Xenopus tropicalis: one gene and its partners. The protein of the gene in region 1 purifies or fractionates together with the protein of each later gene. This does not show direct contact. Links are inferred from orthologs where the notes say so. Each region holds a gene or a part of one and is shown in the gene's direction. Other genes may lie near its edges.

What was found.
Region 2: the proteins of ap2m1 (region 1) and bmp2k purify together in Homo sapiens (affinity purification with mass spectrometry; 3 studies listed by BioGRID and IntAct, counting the BioPlex papers as one, with this or other methods). This does not show direct contact. The link is inferred for Xenopus tropicalis from reciprocal best matches to the Homo sapiens genes AP2M1 and BMP2K.
Region 3: the proteins of ap2m1 (region 1) and ap1g1 purify together in Homo sapiens (affinity purification with mass spectrometry; 3 studies listed by BioGRID and IntAct, counting the BioPlex papers as one, with this or other methods). This does not show direct contact. The link is inferred for Xenopus tropicalis from reciprocal best matches to the Homo sapiens genes AP2M1 and AP1G1.
Region 4: the proteins of ap2m1 (region 1) and ralbp1 purify together in Homo sapiens (affinity purification with mass spectrometry; 3 studies listed by BioGRID and IntAct, counting the BioPlex papers as one, with this or other methods). This does not show direct contact. The link is inferred for Xenopus tropicalis from reciprocal best matches to the Homo sapiens genes AP2M1 and RALBP1.

The regions. Positions count from the first base shown.
Region 1 is NC_030681.2:100,102,964-100,107,642, reverse strand, and holds the end of ap2m1 (AP-2 complex subunit mu), read left to right. Parts: coding exon 1-6; intron 7-112; coding exon 113-248; intron 249-420; coding exon 421-518; intron 519-1,279; coding exon 1,280-1,391; intron 1,392-2,085; coding exon 2,086-2,220; 3' UTR 2,221-3,119; downstream 3,120-4,679.
Region 2 is NC_030677.2:94,842,123-94,847,489, forward strand, and holds part of bmp2k (BMP-2-inducible protein kinase), read left to right. Parts: intron 1-488; coding exon 489-584; intron 585-1,188; coding exon 1,189-1,352; intron 1,353-4,599; coding exon 4,600-4,760; intron 4,761-5,367. UniProt on the Homo sapiens protein: May be involved in osteoblast differentiation.
Region 3 is NC_030680.2:59,354,454-59,359,820, forward strand, and holds part of ap1g1 (AP-1 complex subunit gamma-1), read left to right. Parts: intron 1-140; coding exon 141-196; intron 197-278; coding exon 279-392; intron 393-497; exon of another isoform or gene 498-576; intron 577-668; coding exon 669-809; intron 810-2,458; coding exon 2,459-2,513; intron 2,514-2,792; coding exon 2,793-2,915; intron 2,916-3,068; coding exon 3,069-3,158; intron 3,159-3,234; coding exon 3,235-3,362; intron 3,363-4,434; coding exon 4,435-4,539; intron 4,540-4,621; coding exon 4,622-4,763; intron 4,764-4,891; coding exon 4,892-5,018; intron 5,019-5,156; coding exon 5,157-5,243; intron 5,244-5,344; coding exon 5,345-5,367. UniProt on the Homo sapiens protein: Subunit of clathrin-associated adaptor protein complex 1 that plays a role in protein sorting in the late-Golgi/trans-Golgi network (TGN) and/or endosomes.
Region 4 is NC_030682.2:104,592,552-104,597,918, forward strand, and holds part of ralbp1 (ralA-binding protein 1), read left to right. Parts: intron 1-1,926; coding exon 1,927-2,276; intron 2,277-5,367. UniProt on the Homo sapiens protein: Multifunctional protein that functions as a downstream effector of RALA and RALB. As a GTPase-activating protein/GAP can inactivate CDC42 and RAC1 by stimulating their GTPase activity.

The DNA.
Region 1 (4,679 bases):
TATGAGGTTAGTTCTTATAATTGATATCCAAAAGTTTTTAAATTGAATTTTATTTTTTTGGGGAGTAGAGTGTCATTGCTTTAGTATACAAACGGTGAATTTACTTTTTCAGATATCGAACCACAAAAGACATCATCCTACCATTCCGTGTCATTCCTCTTGTTCGTGAAGTGGGGCGCACAAAGCTTGAGGTCAAGGTGGTCATCAAATCTAATTTTAAACCTTCACTTTTGGCTCAGAAGATTGAGGTGAGCAGTCCTTACTTGTAACCATTTTGTCACTTATATCCTGGTTCCAATTCGCTAATACATTTAATAGTCTGCAGTTTTCTCTTCATTGTGTCTTGTTCCTTTTCTCTTTGGATAGTTGGACAAGACATTGATAAATGACTGAAAAATAATGTGGTTATTAATTTTGTAGGTGAGGATTCCAACCCCACTCAACACCAGTGGAGTACAGGTCATCTGTATGAAAGGAAAAGCAAAGTATAAGGCCAGTGAGAATGCCATTGTGTGGAAGTAAGAACCTCTTATATCTTTCAATTACAGACCAGGTTTTGGGATGTCCGCATGTGGGATGATGTAAAGCAGGTCCTCATAAATGTTTTATGCCATTCTTTTATTTTATATAGTATTTTAGACAGTTTCAGTTCTAGAGCTGTGCATTCTAGGGTGGGGAAAGCACATCATCAATCCCTTTATTTTTAGAGCTATGTCCTTATGTTCATCTTGATTCAAGTTTTGGGATAGCACACCACCCCGTTACTATTTCTCCACTTTAAGTGAAGGTGCAAATGTGCTTTTTTGATTTATTTGCAGTTGCAGTGTGCACTGTAAAATCAAATGTTTAGCAGCACTGGCCCTTGAAGCACAACACTGACTAGGTGCAATACTAAGCAAAGCTAAAATACAAATGGTCCTAAAGTGATAAAGTATCTAGTTTCATCCTTTTCCAAACGAGGAGATATTTGATGATTTGACTTTGGGACCATGGGCCATATCCATGGCCCAGTGCAGTTCTAAGTTTCTGTTTTTTTTTTTGTTTGTTTGTTTGTTTTTCCAGCCCATTTTATATGTGAACTAGTGCCAGTGCTGGTCAGGAAGGCCATTGTTTTAGGCTCATATTTTTTGTTTGCAGCAAAAGAAGAGAAATTAATTTCTGTCAAAATGTATCCTCTAAAATGACATTAAAGCCCAGATTATGTCCAAACTTAAATGTTGTACTTTGATGGGGAAAGCCCCATAGAAATACATTTATTGGTTTAACACTTACTTTGCAGAATAAAGCGCATGGCTGGTATGAAGGAATCTCAGATAAGTGCAGAGATTGAGCTGCTTCCTACTAATGATAAGAAGAAATGGGCTCGGCCTCCAATATCCATGAACTTTGAGGTGAGCAAAATAAGCTTTTGGTATGGGAGCCACATGTAGGGCAGAAGATTCCCCTTAAAGAATGTAGATCTGGGAATCCATTATCCAAATTACTGGATGGCCATCTTCCATAGAGCACATTTTAAGCAAATAATTTATACTTTATTTCCTTTTTTTCCTTTAAGTAGACAAGTGGGGGTTATGTAGTAAAAGGCACTACGTTTGCCCAGGAGTAGTAGCCCATAGCAACAAATCAACAGGTAGCATTTACTAGTCACCTATTTAAAAGCAAACATCCTTATTGCTTGATATAAATAACTGCTGCTGGGCAAACTGCCTTTTATTACATATGGGGGTTATGGCCTTGTCCCACAGGGAGATTAGTCGCCCGCTGTTAAATCTCAGCTACTGCGGGTGGCTAATCTTCCTGTAATGCCCTCCCACCGCCAGTACAGTGAATTGCCGGTGGGAAGGCATTTTAGTGAGATTAGTTTGCCCAGAAGCAGGCGCTTTGTTTTCCGAAGTTTCCTTCTGACTGTAAGGTGATGGTGATCATAATTATAAAAAGACCCCTTATCCAGAGGACCCCAATGTCCCCCAGGTCCCAAGCATTCTTGATCCCATACTTATATTAGTATTTTGTTTTGGGTAGCTTATGCCCCATAAAGTTTAGCTGACGGTCTATCAAGCAGTTGTTTTTTTTTTTCTATTTTAGGTCCCGTTTGCCCCATCTGGGCTCAAAGTGCGTTACCTGAAGGTGTTTGAACCAAAACTAAACTACAGCGACCATGATGTGATCAAATGGGTGCGATACATTGGCCGCAGTGGGATCTATGAGACACGGTGTTAATACATCACAAAACTCAGAAAGAAGTGGGCCCCGTCTCTTAACTTGCATTTCTTTTTATTGAGAAAAGGAAGTCAACATGCTAACCAAGGGGTCAGAATGGGTAGGATTAAAGGTGTGAGATAGCCCTTCCTTTTTCCCACCTGACCATAATATCCACCTTTGCTCCATTATACTTTTAATAACAATTCTTGCTGTTCCCTTCTTTAGCATTGGAGAGCGTTATCATTTATAAGATGCGCTCTCTATGATATGGAGTATCCTCTGGGCCATAGCTGCTATGTGGTTTCCCAATAACCACCTCCCATCTAGCACAGACCAGGCCGTATCTTATCTCACTCCCATCTGTGAATATTGATGACCGATAGTATTCTTGTATAGTGTAGTGCTTTCCACAATCATCCCAACCTTACTACTCATCATGGAACTGGCAGCCTTCTTGGGTTCAATGTTCCCTAGTATTTCTTTCAAATATATACAATTTTAACACTGTCAAAGGCCAGCAGAGTAGGAACAACTGGGCAGAAGTTTCAGAGCATTGGGTTCAGTATGTGGCATGGGAGGTTTTGCATTGTCTCTTCATGGAATAACTCAAGCACTCTATTATATGTGACCAAATAAGAGGTGAGGGATAAGTTCTACAGGTGCTCATGTTACAGCTGAAGGTTGTGTAAGAAAGTATAAATTGTGCACTTCTGTGTCCTTTAGCTCCTGCAGTAACAGGGAGTGTATGGATTTAACCATATCATAGCCAGTTAATCATTAGTGCTGGCACAGGAATGATTTTGCTATTTGTGGCAGTGTGACTTCCCCCTCACATCTCTGTGCTCCTTGTGTTGTGATTTGCTCTGTTTTTCTTTGTGACGCTCAAACTGTACAAGTAATAAACAGCGTAGAACACATCTGTCTGTCTAGTGGTTATTTCAGCAACATTGGGACATGATTGTGGCTTATTATGGGATTTAAAATCATCGATAAACTGTACTGGTCCACGGTAGTAGATGAACTCCATAATGCAGATTGCCCTTCCCAGGACTCTTAAGGCATGCTTGGCAAATATCTTTGGCAACATAGTTACTAACCAATACTAATGTATGTGGGATCAGTGGTTGAATAAACATCCTATTTCCACCGAACATAATGAGTAGCAGCATAAATGTATTCTAGTATTTCTTTATGTACATTAGGAAGGTACCCAGAAGTGACAAACTTTTTGCTTTCTTAAGTTTTCTATGATGTTGAATGCATGTTTTTTTATTTTTACTGTATATCTTTAATTCTACTGTTTAAAAAAAAACAAAAAACGATCAAATAGGTCTTTAGCCTTCCAGACTCTAATCGTCAAACTTCTTGTCATTAGATCTGCACTCCACATGAACAATGAAACAAAGAATTAGCTGGGGGGAACAGAAAGATGCAATGTTCTTGGAAAATAACTTTATTGTTAGGCCTTATGGCATGCCTTTTTAGGTGTAAAAATGAAGCTTTTTTTGCTAGAAAATTGCATCTTCTACTTCTTTGATTCACATTCAAGAACACTATATGTAGATTAATGGAAAAACCCATATTTCAGCCTCCACTCGCATAAGTAGTGCATTTGCTGAAAAAAATGAGGTTCCCAAGAAAATGTACAATTTGATATTCGCTTATCAGAAAAACATTTTGATGGTGAATATGAAAACTGATTTATAAATGTTAAGTTATATAGTGCTTGTACTATTCATTTATTACTAGTCCCATAACACTTTTTCAACAAAAAAGTGCAGTATCAGGAATATACAGTATATTTTATTCCTAGAAGGTTCAAAGGTGTTTTTAAAGTTAATTAGTGATGCACATTTTGTTTGGGGCCAAAGCTTCCTTCTAACCTAGCATTCCCTTGTTACTGCCTGTAGGGAGGTTGGCAAATTACTTTAAAGAGATTATTTATCATTTTCATCAGTCTCTGCCTCAGTGGAGCTTACAGTTATATAAACATAAAATGTTGAACTTACTATGTTAGTCTAAGGTCCCTATCACATTTACACTAGTTAACTTCATCAAGAGCCAGTTAACCTACCTGGCCAATATAATCTGCCAACAGACCTAGTCGGCATCTTATATGGGGCCCTTCCATGGGCTTACCTGACCGATATCTGGCAGGAAATTGGGGCGAGGAGCACATTGGCTTGTTGATGCATTCCTCACCCTGACTAGCTGCAATCCCGCCAACGTGACCCAGTCGTTTGGCCCTTGCCCACCTCAAGGTGGGCATATTGGTGATACATCTTTCAGTGTATTCCTTAAGCTTGCATTGGGAAGCCAATGAACAACCTGGCTGTAGATTTTGGATTGTGGGAAGAAACAGGAGTGCCTGTGCAAGGTGGCAGTGCTAACCACTGTTCCTCGATATTATTTGGTTGTCCAACAAAGCCTGGCAAAAATAATTCCAAGTAATAAGTAAACTACAGAAGTGACTGTGT
Region 2 (5,367 bases), on another chromosome or scaffold:
TGTTATAAAGAACCCTTTGCTTTACTTAGGATTTTTTTGTTGTGGTTGATATATTGTTTGGAATGTGGGACTCAAGTATTTAGCAACAAGTTCACAAATTATTGAGCTTTTAACAAAAACGACAATTTGCAATGGATTACTAAGATGCGAGTACAGCAAATTACGACTTATTAACAGTACAGCCACAAGACATCCTTATACTGCCATTATTACACCAGCGAAACATCAAAAATACTGCAAATGCATCTGATGAAAAAAAGAGTTTGTGCTTTTATTTTAAATAAGAAAGAGGAATTTAAAAAAGGTGGAAGGAAAGGAAACATTTTCATACAGGTTTATTTATATATTTTGTAATAGCAATAATGGTTGTGTTTTGCTGTTGGGTGGTTGAATTAAAAAGCATTTCAAACCTCAATTTTAGCACTTTTGGTTTAGTTAAAGGGTTACAGCAAAAAGCAGTAATTAAGGCTGTATCATTTTTTTAATAGTATCAGCAAGCACTTCAACAGCAGATTCTTCAGCAGCAATTTCTGATGCATTCCATTTACCAGCAGCAACAGCATCCACTTACATTTCCAACCATGGTAAGAAAAATACACTAATAAGCAGATTTAGTAAAATTTGGGCTAGTGAATTAAGAATTTGCATCAGTTGCAAAATTTTTGTAAAGCTCCTATTAATTTATTGAAGTGGATCAATGTGTTAGTTCATCATAGACTATAGTCACATTCAATCCTGTTCTGTGGGTGTTAAAAAAAAAAAAAACGTTCTCATCAAACAAGTCTTGTCAGAGTAGTGACCTTACGCTTGATATTGATTGTAATATGATAGTAAAATAAAGCCAATGTTAATAGTGTACCATATCACATTTTCTTGCGCATAGTTCATGGGTGCTTTTTTTGTGGGGTTTGAAGTCCCTGTTACTGTTTTCTTTTGTTTGAGCTTCCCACTAAATATATCCTTGTTTTAGTAAACTTTTAGGAGCCACATTTCTTAAATCTAAAGCCTGTTATGAGGCAAGAGATGCCTTCAGCTATGTCATGGGTATTTTCCATAACAAAGAAAAACCTGAGTCAATTGCTCTTTTTATTAGTTTGACTGAAATGCTATGGTTATAACACAGAATGATCTAGTTGTGAAATTGTCATACATTTCTGCTCCAGTATATTTTATATCATGTTTTCAAAGGTTCATCAATATCAACAGACACATATACAGCATCAACCGCAAGTCCTTGTTCAGCATCAGCCGCATATTCAGCACCTGAGATCTCCTCAAGAGATTACACCAGTTTCATATGCAGCCTCATTATCTGAGCAAGTGGGAGGACTGGGAAACTCATGCAGTACCAGGTAATAAGAAATGTGGTATATTAAAACCACCTAGTACAACTAAACTCAAAATCTAGGTATTTTCATATTAACATAGGAATGCCCCGAATTCACTATTTTGGGATTCGGCTAAACCCCCAATCCTTTGTGAAAGATTCGGGCGAATACCGAATCGAATCCTAATTTGCATATGCAGATCAAATAAACGAAGGTTTAAAAAGAAAAATTTTCAACTTCCTTGTTTATGTGATGAAAAGTCACATGATTTTAAGGATACAGATTCGGCCAGGACCATAGATTCAGCTGAATCCGAATCCTGCTGAAAAAGGCAGAATCTTGGCCAAATCCCAAACCGAATCCTGGACTCTTTGCATCCCTATATTAACAACAGTTTTGATGTAGAGACAACCAGGTAGTGAAGAGTCTTGCACTGAGGGTGTTGTTAATCTTAAGGTAATGGGATAAGTAAAAAACAATGGCAAGTATAGAAGGCTGGCCAGTTCAGCTTATTTTGACCTTAATGTCTGACCACCTAGGCCCGTCATGGGGACCCTGAGGCTTATGATCCTGCTATCTTGCTGGATCAAGAATTATTGGCCCTGATGCAGAGGCATTTTGACCCCAGTGCCATCTTGAGGTGGTGTGGGTGATGCTTCCTGCCACTCTGCACTTAAGAATTTTGACTCTTCTAGTGCAGAAAGCGCTATTGATGCATAAAAACTATTTCAGAGTTGCAATTTCAGCTCTTAAAGTTATCAGGATCTGCATCTCTGCAGTTACTTATTTCATCCTGCTGTTCTGGTCTTTGGGGAGATGGACTCCAACAAATGGAACAATTGCAAAATTTCAATGGACATGTATGGCCTGTCTTTACAGGGGTAGTTCACCTTACAATTACCCTTTAGTTAGTATAGAACTAGTATTCTAAGAAAATTTGTAAATGGTCTTCATGTTTTTATTTTTTTTGTATTTTTTGTGGTATTTACTTGTTATTGTTCTGCAGGTCACAGGCTTGAAATTTCCACTTCTGTCTAGGTGCCCTAGCAAAAGGAAATGATAAGAAGTGGGGCCAAATAGAAATATATAAGCAATAAAAAATTAATAACAATACAGCTATAGCTTTATGGCGTTCTTGGCTTCAGAGGTAATTTACAGCTGGGAAACAGGCAGAACAGTAACACTAACAAGGCTAGTATTTGTATTATTAAAGGAGATGTCAACCCTAATTTTAATTTCACTTCTAATGGATAGGGCGCCTTACCCCCACTTAAACGTTTTGCGTGTCATCCGGCGGCCATTTTGCGCGCCTGACCTCTTCAAGGATTTTTTTTTAAGCTTCTGCTTTTTTAAACAAAGCTGACAGACAGCTTTTTCCTTAAAATGAAACTGTTAGGGCATTAAAGAACAATAAAATTAAACAGGAATGAAGTGTACATTGCTTAAGTATTTCAGCAAACACTGTTTAAGCTTGCAAGACTCACTTACAAAATACCTGCAGTTCAGATTCAGCGGTGAAAAGGTTAAACTTTCCTGCCTGCAGTCAGAAGAACATGTTCCAAGAGAGGGAGCAGAGAGCTCTTGTTTACAAAGGCAGAGTTAGTATAGCAACTGTCTATGAGATCGGCTCATTGGAGGATTGACTGTGGGCGTGGTTAAAGAGTTCAATCATCTGCTGTGTAGAGAAGAGATTCATCTCAAGTGAGCATGCTCATTAAAACGGCTTGGAACTGGGCATGTGCATCACGCCAGGCAGACAAGGAGATTCTGAAGGGAGGGGGGAGAGGGAGTTACACAGCTCTGCAGTGAGAGAAACTCCAAGGGATTGCTGCAGCTTCAGTGTTTGCTTCTGAGGGACAGGAGTGGCACATATTTAAATAGTGCTGTGAGGCTTTTCTCTGCTAAAATTATTGGTTGGGGGGTTGACATGTCCTTTAAAAATATTTGAGCCCTAAGGGATTCATATCTGTTCAAATTCTATTCAAAGGGTAGTTACATACATGGTACCATTGTAATATAGACTGAAACAAGACACATTTACATCCTTTTGGTCTAAATAAAACCTAACTGCTGGTTGATCCAGAACCCCATCTGGAGCTTTTCCGATTTTCTTCAGAGGAGGAGAAAACTAGTTCCTGACTTCAAAGTGGCATTTGCACCAGTCCCAGGCTTAACTTTGTACTAATATTAATTATTCATGGGAGCACTTACTGGTCACAGCTGTGTACTGCCGAGACCCAGACAGCATATCACTCCACCAATCAGAAAAAATGTACCGTGCACCCAAACATCGCTGGATAAAAATCACTGTTTATTCAGTCCATTTAAAAAACAGGCTATGTACCATTCGCTTGACGCGTTTCATGGCCTCACGCCGCTTCCTCAAAAGCTGCATTGTACTAAGATTTCAGTAATCTTATTTATCTGCCAGTACAACCATTTCAGTACCATCGTGATTGCATTATTGGAAGAGTTTATATGCCAAGAACTTCCTGTATCAGTCCATTTGCTCTAAATTTATTGCTAGATATGCCATGAACTGGATGAATAAAAACCTTCATAGACATAGTCCTATGCTTGGAATTTTTTTCAGCTGATGTATTCTTCTTGTTCTTTCTCTACCCTGCTTTCAAGTCGTGGTACAGAAAACTCGTTGCCATGTGGGGCTACAGTTTTATTATTGTTATTGTCAAACCCCTGTGTATATACTTGTTTGGTAAAAAACTGCCACTGCTGTAATGCCAAGATAATTTTGAATTGGAATTTGCTTTCCAGTTAGCACTTACATGCCTAAGGGCATTTTAAGGACAAGGAATCCCCCCCCCCCCCCCCAATCTTTAAAAGATAATTGTTTCTTTTGGGGCAGATATTAGTGAATATGTTGGTAACAAATAATAATGTGCATATGTGTATATGTGTATATATATATATATATATATATATATATAACTCAACAGTAGAAAGCACTCACACCTATAGCATCAATCAAGTCAGTGATTTATTTCAGCATACCATCTACGCGTTTCCATCACCACAGGATCATCATCATCAGGATCCTGTGGTGATCGTAACGCGTAGATGGTATGCTGAAATAAATCACTGACTTGATTGATGCTATAGCTGTGAGTGCTTTCTACTGTTGAGTTTGATGCATTATTTTTGTCAGCACCCAGCCGTTGCCCCGATATTGGTGAGTGCCGATTCTTTACGAGACTATATATATATAATATAAATATATATAATATATATATTTATATATTTTTTTTCTTAGATCTACGAACATTTCAGAAATGGAAACTGGTTCTAGTGTTCCTAAACACAACAGCAGCAACCCACCAGATATGTCTGGGTGGAACCCATTCGGAGATGACAATTTCTCTAAGTTAACAGAAGAAGAATTACTGGACAGGGAATTTGACCTTCTAAGATCAAGTAAGGGGCGATTGAAGGCCTATTTTGCATCACAATAATATGGACAAATCGTTAACTGCCAGAGGCTGTACTGGCACAAGGACCACAAACTTTGCATTATAAAACTTCTCTTTCTAAGTGTCCAAGGGCAACACTGAGTTCTGTGATTACAAGGAACATGGTATATACTGTATACTCAAGCTACAAACAAAATATTCTGCTATGAAACAATCCACTATTCATAAACTGTTATAGTGAACTTCTGCTGCAAGTACAAGAAGACTCTATATATCCTCCTTGCTACATTTCATTTTGCGTATTGTCTGACCAGTGATGCCCTTTGACAGTGCTTGAAAGAAGAGTTGGTCCTGTTCACATTATGTTAATGTTTGTAATTTTAATTTGAGAAGCTGCTGCCTGTAAGAGCCACTTTCTTGTCCTCTAACATGGTGATAGCTGAATAAACCATTTATCCTACTCTTTTTTGTTTGTTTTGATTGAACCTGATTCAGAGCCTCATAATACTTTACTCCTTAGAAACAGTAATTGTAATGTTGCATAACAGAATTTTTCCACAGAATGTGAATGGAATTTTTACGGAATGCTGTGTAATGACCAGTAATAATAA
Region 3 (5,367 bases), on another chromosome or scaffold:
TTCATCATTTTCTTTTCCTGACTTTTTTAAACTCACCTAGTGCTTTCCACAGTATATTCTTTATCTTTAGCCAGATGTGCCACTTTTGTACCCTGTCTTTCCCTTTTTATACAGTTACACAACTACAATTTTTTTTGCAGGTTTTAGCTATTAATATTTTGGGAAGATTCTTGTTAAATAATGATAAAAATATTCGGTAAGTTTCATCAACTTTTGTATTTATTGTTATAATGAAATGCAAGAGGGCATAATGTAAAAAAGTATCTTCTCTTTTCTAGGTATGTGGCCTTGACATCTCTTCTAAAAACAGTACAGACTGACCACAATGCAGTGCAGAGGCATCGTAGCACCATTGTAGATTGTCTGAAGGATTTGGATGTATCTATTAAACGGTAAGAGACTACCTAAAATGCCCCAAGAGCTAATACTTGTTATAGTAGACACAACCAAAAGTTGTGATGTATGGTATTTTATAATATAGATAACAGTAAATACTTTGTTTGTTGTGTGATGATTATTAAGTGATCCATCGGCAGAGACTTACCGTGCTGAGATCCTAAAACCTGACAACAACCAGACCTGTTACTCAGACCACCAGTTACTTAGGCTGCCATCAGAAAGCCAGGCATTGTCTTCATTATGCCCTTTTGTATTTTGTTTTTTGTAAGGCGAGCAATGGAGCTTAGCTTTGCTTTGGTGAATGGGAATAATATCCGTGGAATGATGAAAGAGCTTCTGTATTTTCTGGACTCCTGTGAACCTGAATTTAAAGCTGACTGTGCTTCGGGCATCTTCTTAGCTGCAGAAAAGTAAGTAACTTGCAGTGTTATTATACACCACTTGCTCTTGCTCAATACAGTGACACTGCGCAAAGGACATTACAATGCAACCAAAACCCTACAAAATATAAGGCTAAAATGTAATCCATATGCTGGACTAATATGTTATGGGGTACAGTTACTGTGTGATAGTGCAAATCTATAACTGCAAAGTTGCCACCTGAATCTCCTTCGCTTAACAGGGTCTTTCTACAACCTTTCTTCCCCCACCCCATCCTTTAGCTGATTGTACACACTCAACACTCAGGTATCAATGCTAAGTATTGGTCCCTTCAGCCTATAGGCCAATCAGTCTGATACCATACAGGATCAGCCTGTGTATGGCACCTGTAGTAACACAATTGTGTCTGGTATAGTGAACTCTGTGGATATCCTAAGCATAATTTTGTTAGGTATTTGTGTAATGTCTATTAATATTTAGGGCTGTGTTTTTTCCTCATTTCAGGCCCATCAGTGAAGGGACATACATTTACAAAGCAATTATCTCTGTGCTGGGAGTATAGTAAACCGTGTCAGTGCATTAAAATGCTAGTTTGCATAGTATAGCATATTTGCCTCTCTATTCTATTCTAGAAGAGAGTGGGTGCAATCACTATATAACATTTCTTCATATTATGACCATTTCATGTACGGTGTTCTCCAGCATGTAATGTGACATGACTAGGACACATCTAGATCACCATTCACTCAGTTTACAAGGCGTAATATACATTTATAGTGCAGGTTTTTCCTCACTAGGTTTTTGTTAGAAGTATAACAACTACTATTAACTAAAGAAGGCATGCTGGAAATTTTATTTGCTGCAGAGGATATTGTTGGCTTTCATAATTTTGAGATATTAGAGTTATTTTCCTTTATTTACATAGCACTGACATTTTCAGCAATTCTTTTTTCAAGAACCAGTTAACCTGCCTTTAAATTTTAAAACCGTGTCAGATAAGGATTACATAGAAGAAAACTATTATGGGGAGAATGGGGAGAACATACAAACTAGGGATGCACCGAATCCCAGATTCGGTTCGGGAATCAGGCCAAATCCAATCTTTTTTTTTTTTTTTTTTTTTTATTGAAGGATTTGGAAGGAATCCGCGGTCCTGGGCACACTGAATCCAAATCCTAATTTGCATATGCTAATTAGCATTCGGAAGGGTTAAATGGGGGGGGGGGGGGGGGGAATTTTCGCCGTGCAACGCGTGCCAATTTTTAACCCTTCCCCATTCTAATTAGCATATGCTTCCGTTTGGGATTCGGCAGAATCAGTCAGGGTGGTTCCGGTGCATCCCTAATACAAGCACACTGCAGTTTTACAGGATCAGAAATGCTAGCAGAATAACTGGTACAGATATGGGATCCCTTATCCGGAAACCCGTTTTTGGGTTTATTCAATATTTAAATAATTTTTTAGCAGACTTAAGTTATGCAGATCCAAATTACCCCATGCAGAGCAGAGCATTCTGAATAACAGGTCCTATACCTGTATTATTGCAATGAATGTATTGCAATACAATACAGTATATGTTGCAGAGCTACATGTCTGCGAAATTTAGAACTGTGTTTGCACTTCTGTTTTTAATGTTTTGCTACTAATGAGATTATTTTTGACCACTTTACTCTTTTAGATATGCCCCTTCAAAGCGTTGGCACATAGATACAATTATGAGAGTTCTTACAACAGTAAGTAAAGATTTAAAAGAAAACTACCCTAAGCATTTCCTTGTTAACCTTCATGATGTGGTCAGATAAAAGTTCCTCACTGCAGTGTTGATCAGTATTATCATAGTGTGCAAAGCATCTGTATAGCCGCATATTCCTAATATGTGGTTCCTTAGGCTCTCTTGGGGGTCATACAAATTCAATGAGTTGAAAGTGAAAATTTGGCCTTTAAACCTTTATTCTACTGTTGTCCCATTCACCTTTCTTTTTTCTTTACTCTTGCTTTCATTATTTTTGTAGGCTGGAAGCTATGTACGAGATGATGCAGTTCCAAATCTTATTCAGCTAATTACAAATAGCTCAGAGATGCATGAATATACTGTACAAAAGCTCTACAAGGCCATTCTGGATGATATTTCCCAGGTAAAGAACTGAATTTTACACAAAGAAGGAATTTGATTGGTAAAGAGTTATATTATGGACAGTTATGTTCATGTTAATCGCTACATTTAAGCCATTGACATAGTATACAACATAAATTGATTTATGATTTTTGCCATTGGCTTTATACTTTAGCAACCACTGGTCCAAGTTTGCTCATGGTGCATAGGTGAATATGGAGACCTGCTGGTTTCGGGCCAGTGTGAGGAAGAGGAACCTATCCAGGTAATTGGGGTCCCTAAAGAAACTAGTATTGTTTGATTTGTCTGGCACTTCCTAAGATTGTATTTCTTAAATTTAGGTTACGGAAGATGAGGTGCTGGATATTTTAGAAAGCATTTTGATCTCCAACATGTCCACATCTGTTACGCGAGGTTTTGCCCTGACGGCCATCATGAAAAACTCCACTAGGTTTAACAACACTGTTAAGTAGGTATCTTTTTTTGAGTTGAGGATGATAAAATGTTTAGGGAAGGGCACACAGGGAAGCAGAGTTATCAGTTTTTGAGTTTAAGGGGAAAAAACATGATTGTGGGGAAAAAAAGACAAAATTCAGGTGACGTGACTGCAACTTTTTATATGCTCAAGCTTTAGGCTATTTAAGAAAAAACTAATAGTTGTGGTTGCTGTTTTTCACAGAAGTTGTTTGACACAGTTCAATAGAAACAGCAGCTTTTCTCTTACAAGTTTCTTTATTTAAAGGAGAAGAAAGGCTAGTAAAGAGTTAATCTCAAGCTGCAGGCATACCTTCAATTGTCTCAATAGTGCCCTTAAGTCTCCCCATATTTCACCTGTTCAGAAGATCAGAAGCCAAACAGGAAGAAAAACACTGAGCTGTGTAAAGAAAGTTCCCATAATGCCTCACTCCTGCACAGACACCCAGACCAAGTGAACATGCTCAGTTAGTTAGACTATGAGTCAGCTTCCTGCTGATTGGCTCTGGTTTCTGTGAGTGCTTTTGGCTGTATTTACATAGACCTTTCTGATAAAGCTTACTTAGTTTTTACCTTTCTTTCTCCTTTAACTTTCACGTTTTTTTAAACTTGAATTGTAAAAAGGTGTGCGCCAGTTTATAAATATTCTTTTCTTTCCTATAAGCATTTCAGTACAGACAGTGATCTGACTATAGCCATGAATATTTCATCTAGGTGAGAGATAATGTTCATCCTCAGGTGTCTAGTGCCAGCAGTGCGCATGAAAACCAGGGCACTAATGATGGGATTTGTCCCAATTCTAAACCAGACTCTGGATTTGTTGCATCCTTATTTTTTTCTCTTTATGTATGTATGTATAACTTTATGTATGTGTGTATAATAAATACAATAATTAAGTATTAATACCCAGAGATTAGATGCCATGCGGTATGAGACCCATAAGGAAGGATGTCTCTGCTTGTATAGCTTATGTTTCTTTAATTTGCTACTCCAAAAGAAGCTAGAGTTCAGGGTCCTGAATGGACCTAATGGATTTGTAATGTTCCATTTGTTTGTTTTTTTTGTAGCCGTATTAAAAAAGTGGTATCCATCTATGGCAGCAGCATTGATGTTGAGTTGCAGCAAAGGGCAGTAGAATACAATGCTTTATTCAAGAAATATGACCACATGAGGTAAGGAATAGCCTTATTACAGCTTATGGCTATCACAGTTATTCCATGAGAAGGAAAGCTCATAGGAACTTAATCCTTCTAGGCCTGCACTCCTTGAAAGAATGCCTATTATGGAGAAAGCATTGACAAATGGACCAACAGACTTGGCACAAACAAATGGAGAAACAGACCCTGCAGTTATTGACTCTAAGCCAGTTCAGTCTATTCAGCAGCCTTCTAGCCAGGTAACATCTAAACTCCGCTAAAACAGGTTCTGCCTATGTCGCAAAAGTCAGTTTAAAGGACAGCACTTGCATAAAATATTTCTTCTCTAATTTTTGTCCCTTAACACAGTGTGATTTCATTATTACAGGCTAATGACTTATTAGATTTGTTGGGCGGAAATGATATTCAGCTAGTCATACCCACTGCACACCCTACCAAACCTGCTTCTGTAGGAGGAGAGCTTTTAGATTTGCTTGGAGACCTCAATCTCAGTGGTAAGTCAGTTTAAGTTGTTTTCGGCCATCTTATGCCCTGTGTTATGATTTTCCAGTTCATGTGAGAACTAATATGAATTTGCATTTCTTTTCTGGTCTCTGTTCAACTAATGTACTGCTTTTTCTTATATGTAACAGGAACTCCAGCTGCAGTTCCACAGATGCCAGCACCTCAGCTGCTGCTGGATGGACTGTCTGGACAGCCTCTCTTCAATGATATTTCAGGTCTGTTCTTCATTTTGTCCCACTAACTCCCTTCCCATTACTAATAAAATCTGTGTTTCTTTAGTAGAAGTTGAGGAACTTGGATATCTTGTTATCTGCAGGTATTCCTCCTATCACTGCGTAC
Region 4 (5,367 bases), on another chromosome or scaffold:
AATAAGTTATATTTTACTTCTCTTATGTTTGTTTAGTTTATATCTTACCATTTACAGTGAAGGAAATAATTACTTGACCCCTCACTGATTTTGTAAGTTTGTCCAATGACAAAGAAATGAAAAGTCTCAGAACAGTATCATTTCAATGGTAGGTTTATTTTAACAGTGGCAGATAGCACATCAAAAGGAAAATCGAAAAAATAACTTTAAATAAAAGATAGCAACTGATTTGCATTTCATTGAGTGAAATAAGTTTTTGAACCCTCTAACAAAAAAAGACTTAATACTTAGTGGAAAAACCCTTGTTTGCAAGCACAGAGGTCAAACGTTTCTTGTAATTGATGACCAAGTTTGCGCACATTTTAGGAGGAATGTTGGTCCACTCCTCTTTGCAGATCATCTCTAAATCCCTAAGGTTTCGAGGCTGTCTCTGTGCAACTCTGAGCTTGAGCTCCCTCCTAGGTTTTCTATTGGATTATGGTCCGGAGACTGACTAGGCCACTCCATGACCTTAATGTGCTTCTTCTTGAGCCACTCCTTTGTTGCCTTTGCTGTATGTTTTGGGTCATTGTCGTGCTGGAACACCCATCCACGACCCATTTTCAGTTTCCTGGCAGAGGGAAGGAGGTTGTCGTTCAGGATTTCACGATACATGGCTCCGTCCATTTTCCCGTTAATGCGAATAAGTTGTCCTGTGCCCTTAGCAGAAAAACACCCCCAAAGCAAAATGTTTCCACCCCCATGCTTGACTGTGGGGACGGTGTTTTGGGGGTCATAGGCAGCATTTTTCTTCCTCCAAACACAGTCACTCACAAAATCATTCAGGTGTTCATTGGCAAACTTCAGACGGGCCTGCACATGTGCCTTCTTGAGCAGGGGGACCTTGCGAGCCCTGCAGGATTTTAATCCATTGCGGTGTAATGTGTTTCCAATGGTTTTCTTGGTGACTGTGGTCCCTGCTAATTTGAGGTCATTAACTAACTCCTCCCGTGTAGTTCTTGGATGCTTTTTCACCAATCTCAGAATCATTGACACCCCACGAGGTGAGATCTTGCGTGGAGCCCCAGAGCGAGGTCGATTGATGGTCATTTTGTGCTCCTTCCATTTTCGAACAATCGCACCAACAGTTGTCACCTTCTCTCCCAGCTTCTTGCTAATGGTTTTGTAGCCCATTCCAGCCTTGTGCAGGTCTACAATTTTGTCTCTGACATCCTTGGACAGCTCTTTGGTCTTTCCCATGTTGGAGAGTTTGGAGTCTGCTTGATTGATTGATTCTGTGGACAGGTGTCTTTTATACAGGTGACTCGTTAAGACAGGTGTCCTTAATGAGGTCGACTAATTGAGTAGAAGTGTCTAACCACTCTGTGGGAGCCAGAACTTTTAATGGTTGGTAGGGGTTCAAAAACTTATTTCACTCAATGAAATGCAAATCAGTTGCTATCTTTTATTTAAAGTTATTTTTTCGATTTTCCTTTTGATGTGCTATCTGCCACTGTTAAAATAAACCTACCATTGAAATGATACTGTTCTGAGACTTTTCATTTCTTTGTCATTGGACAAACTTACAAAATCAGTGAGGGGTCAAATAATTATTTCCTCCACTGTACATGGGTTATTAAATGTTTGGTGTTGCTAATGGTTTAAGATTTTACATTATTTTCAGTTAAAGATGTATACCTTTTGAATTCTGGCAACAGTATCCCTTTAAGTATAGTCAGCAGTTAGCATGGAGTTGAAGTAAAAATCCAATGAAATGCCCCATACCGAGACACAAGCAGCACTATATACATTTATTGGAGATAAAATAAGGGCAGGACCACGTGTATAAAATGCTGTTACATTCTTGTTATATTCTTTTATATATTATATTCTTTTATAAAGTGTATATATGAACTTATTTAGTGCTTATTATTTTTGCTTTCCCAGGAATAAAGTCGAAGGTGGATGAGCTAAAGGCAGCTTATGACAGAGGGGAGTCTCCAAACCTGGAGGATTATGAGCCATACACAGTGGCAAGTTTATTAAAGCAATACCTGCGGGAGCTACCAGAAAATGTGCTGACCAAAGATCTAATGCCACGGTTTGAGGAGGCGTGTGGCAAAAGTACAGAAGGGGAGAGGCTGCAGGAGTGTCAGCGCTTATTGAAGGAACTGCCAGAATGCAACTTCTGCCTGACTTCATGGCTAATAGTGCACATGGACCATGTCATAGAGAAGGAACTTGAAACAAAAATGAACATACAGAACATTTCTATTGTGCTGAGCCCTACTGTTCAGGTACAAAAGAAACGACTGCCAGAGTTTGGCACAGTGTATGGGATTAATCATGTTTTCTGTGAGTGAGTGATCTACTTGTGTGAATGTGCAGTATGTGGGCTTCCAATTAATTTACTTTCCTTCTTATTTTGCAAAATGAGCTGTGTACTACCAACAGTACTACTAACAATATGCTATTGGAGAATAGGGAAATGCAATTTATAGTTTCAAGAAAGAGTTCACCTTTATTAAAATGTAGACAGTGACAGATATTTTGAGGCAGTTCGTAATTACTCTTTATTTTTTTAGTTATTGAATTTTGAGTTATTTAGCTTTTTGTTGAGCAACTCTCCAACTGCTGAACCCTAGCAACTAAATAGCAGCTATCTAATAGCGGGGTCCAATTTACTCTAGTAACTAAGCAGTGGCGCGAATGGGAGACTGAAAGTAATTAAAGGTATCAATAACAATAAAACTGCAGCCTCACAGAGCAAAGCTAGTAATTCAGAAAATAGAAAAAAAAAACTGAAACCCCCCAAAAAATTTAATAAAAAACAAAAATGTAAAAGGTGCTAAGAATACTCCATTCTATAACACACTAAATTTTAATTTAAATGTGAACTACACAAAGAAATGGATGGTTAATTATTTTAAAAGGGGATGTTCACGTTAAAAATAGCTTTTATTTTGATGTAGAATTAAGCATTTTAGTACAAATTGCCATTGCACCTTGTTTGATACTGAAGTGATGGATACTGGGACTTGAAGTAGCCCAGAAGTCCCAGAATCCTTCATTCAGTATGGAGTAAGGTTGGAGCTGAATCTCTTCAATGCCTGGGCTTGGGAAATGGTCCCTGTAAAAAAGAGGCAGACTATGGTTGAACAGAACAAGCTTATGTCTAAGAGAGGGGGGGGGGGGGGGGACTGGACAGAGCTTCTGGTGGAGTTTGTACTTAGCATTTAGCTGCTCAGTTCCATCAATTGCCATTCTTTGATTTTAGCTGATGACCATTTGTAAAGATTCTTTTCCATTTCCCCCTAATTGTGCATATATGAACTACTATTTATTTTACTGAAAAAAACAAATTATCCTCTTTTCATTAATTCTGCTGAGCCAGTTGGCTTGTATATAGGACTGTTGAACATTAGACATTGGGTGAGATGGAGGCCTATTAACTAAACAAAAATAGGACTACAACTTGAATTCAAGCCCCTATCAGTCAGCCCATATTTAGATGATGCTGGAGATTTTCTAAAGGCTAAATCTGTTCTTCCTTCCTTCCTTGATCCCTCTGGAAAACAGACAATAGCTGATGGGTTTCATGAGCTTTTGTCTGAAAAAAAAAAGTGGCAAATGCTGATATATTTACATTTAGAGATTTAGTATCTGTTGAGGAAATCTAAGCATTCTGTGTTGTAAAATGATTTTACTGTCAACAGTAATCAGTTTTGTAGATTGCCAAGGATGGTTTTTTTTTTTTTCCCCGTAAACTTACATTTAAGTTGTTATATAAAGTACTGTTTCCGGATAATCGCAACGCATTATATAAATACATTTGCCTTAATAGTGTTATACTTAAGTTGTATTTTAATAGCAAAGTAACTTTGGCTTCCATTTAAATACTTAGGGAAATATTTATCAAGGTGTGAGATTAGAGCTCACCACAGAAATATTCACCCACTTCCTATTAATTTCTGTGGGATGTTCAGAGGGGTTCTTTATCAAATGGTGAGCTCTAACTTTTCACCCCTTTATAAACACACTTTTGAAAATCCCTTAGAAATCAATAGAGAGTGGGTTAAATTTTATGTTGTGGGCTTTAACCTCACGTTTTGATAACTCTTTCCCATAATGTGTAATATATATGTAATCACATAAAATAATACAAATAGAGGATAAATGTAATTTTGCTATTGAAAAAAGTGTCTGTTTGAGGGGTGAGAGAATATAAACACCCAGACAATGTTGCAAGCCTGCTGAATAAGAGGCCTAGAGTAGAACAGACTCCAGTTACATTGTTTTAATGTTGCTAGTCATGATTTTTCTTTACATGCCCTGGACAGTAAGGGGTATATTTATCATGCCATGTAAAACGTGGAGTGAAGCATTACTGGTGATGTTGCCCAGGGCAACCAATCAGCAATTAGATTTCAACAGTTAGAAAATCAAAGCAAAGCATCTGATTGGCTGCTATGAGCAACATCACTGGTAATGTTTCACTCCACTTTTTAGGGCTCTGGCACACGGGGAGATTAGTCGCCCGCGGCAAAACTCCCTGTTCGCGGGCGACTAATCTCCCCGAGTTGCCTTCCCCTGCCATCCCACCGGCGAACATGTAAGTCGCCGGCGGGATGGCAGACGCGGCGGGGCGATTTCGGGAAATCGCCGAAAAAGACTCGCGAGTCTTTTTCGGCGATTTGCGCTAAATCGCGCCGCCGCGTCTGCCATCCCACCGGTGACTTACATGTTTGCCGGTGGGATGGCAGGGGAAGGCAACTGTGCCAGGTGACATCATTAAGCGTCAGTAATAATGGTTTGATATATAAGAGCCTTGAATATCTTAAAAAAAAAAAACAGGGCTAACTTATTTCATTAGGGGGGTTAAAAGTCACCTTGGAGTTTCACAACATGTATAAAAGCACTCAGACTTATATATATAGTGAAAGGTAATCCTTCCTGTAAACAGTGCTTTACTATTTAACCCTTTGTGTCACTCGATATAGACTACAGTGCCAGCATAAAAGTACCATTATCCCAGTGCCATAGATTTTACAGATCCAGGTTTCTCTTTGATCTGTGCCACGCCACGTGTATCTTTTCAAGGTGCTTCTTGGCAAGAGCAAAGAGAAGCCACCCTAACTTATAATGCACCTGGTATTTCTCTTTGCTGCTGGTTTCACACATTTCTGGTGCTTCTGAAGGCAAAATAACTGTAGAATTCACTTGCTTTGGGTTGCTATGATTCATACATCAAGATGCTCAGCTTTAAATGGGTAAAATATAGTCCAAATTACATGCCATAGCCCATTTTTTTCTGCTTTGAAATTTGCAGACTGACAGTCTGGTTACAGATTCCTTTTTCTTTAATTGTGTCAGACGCCCAAAACTCGC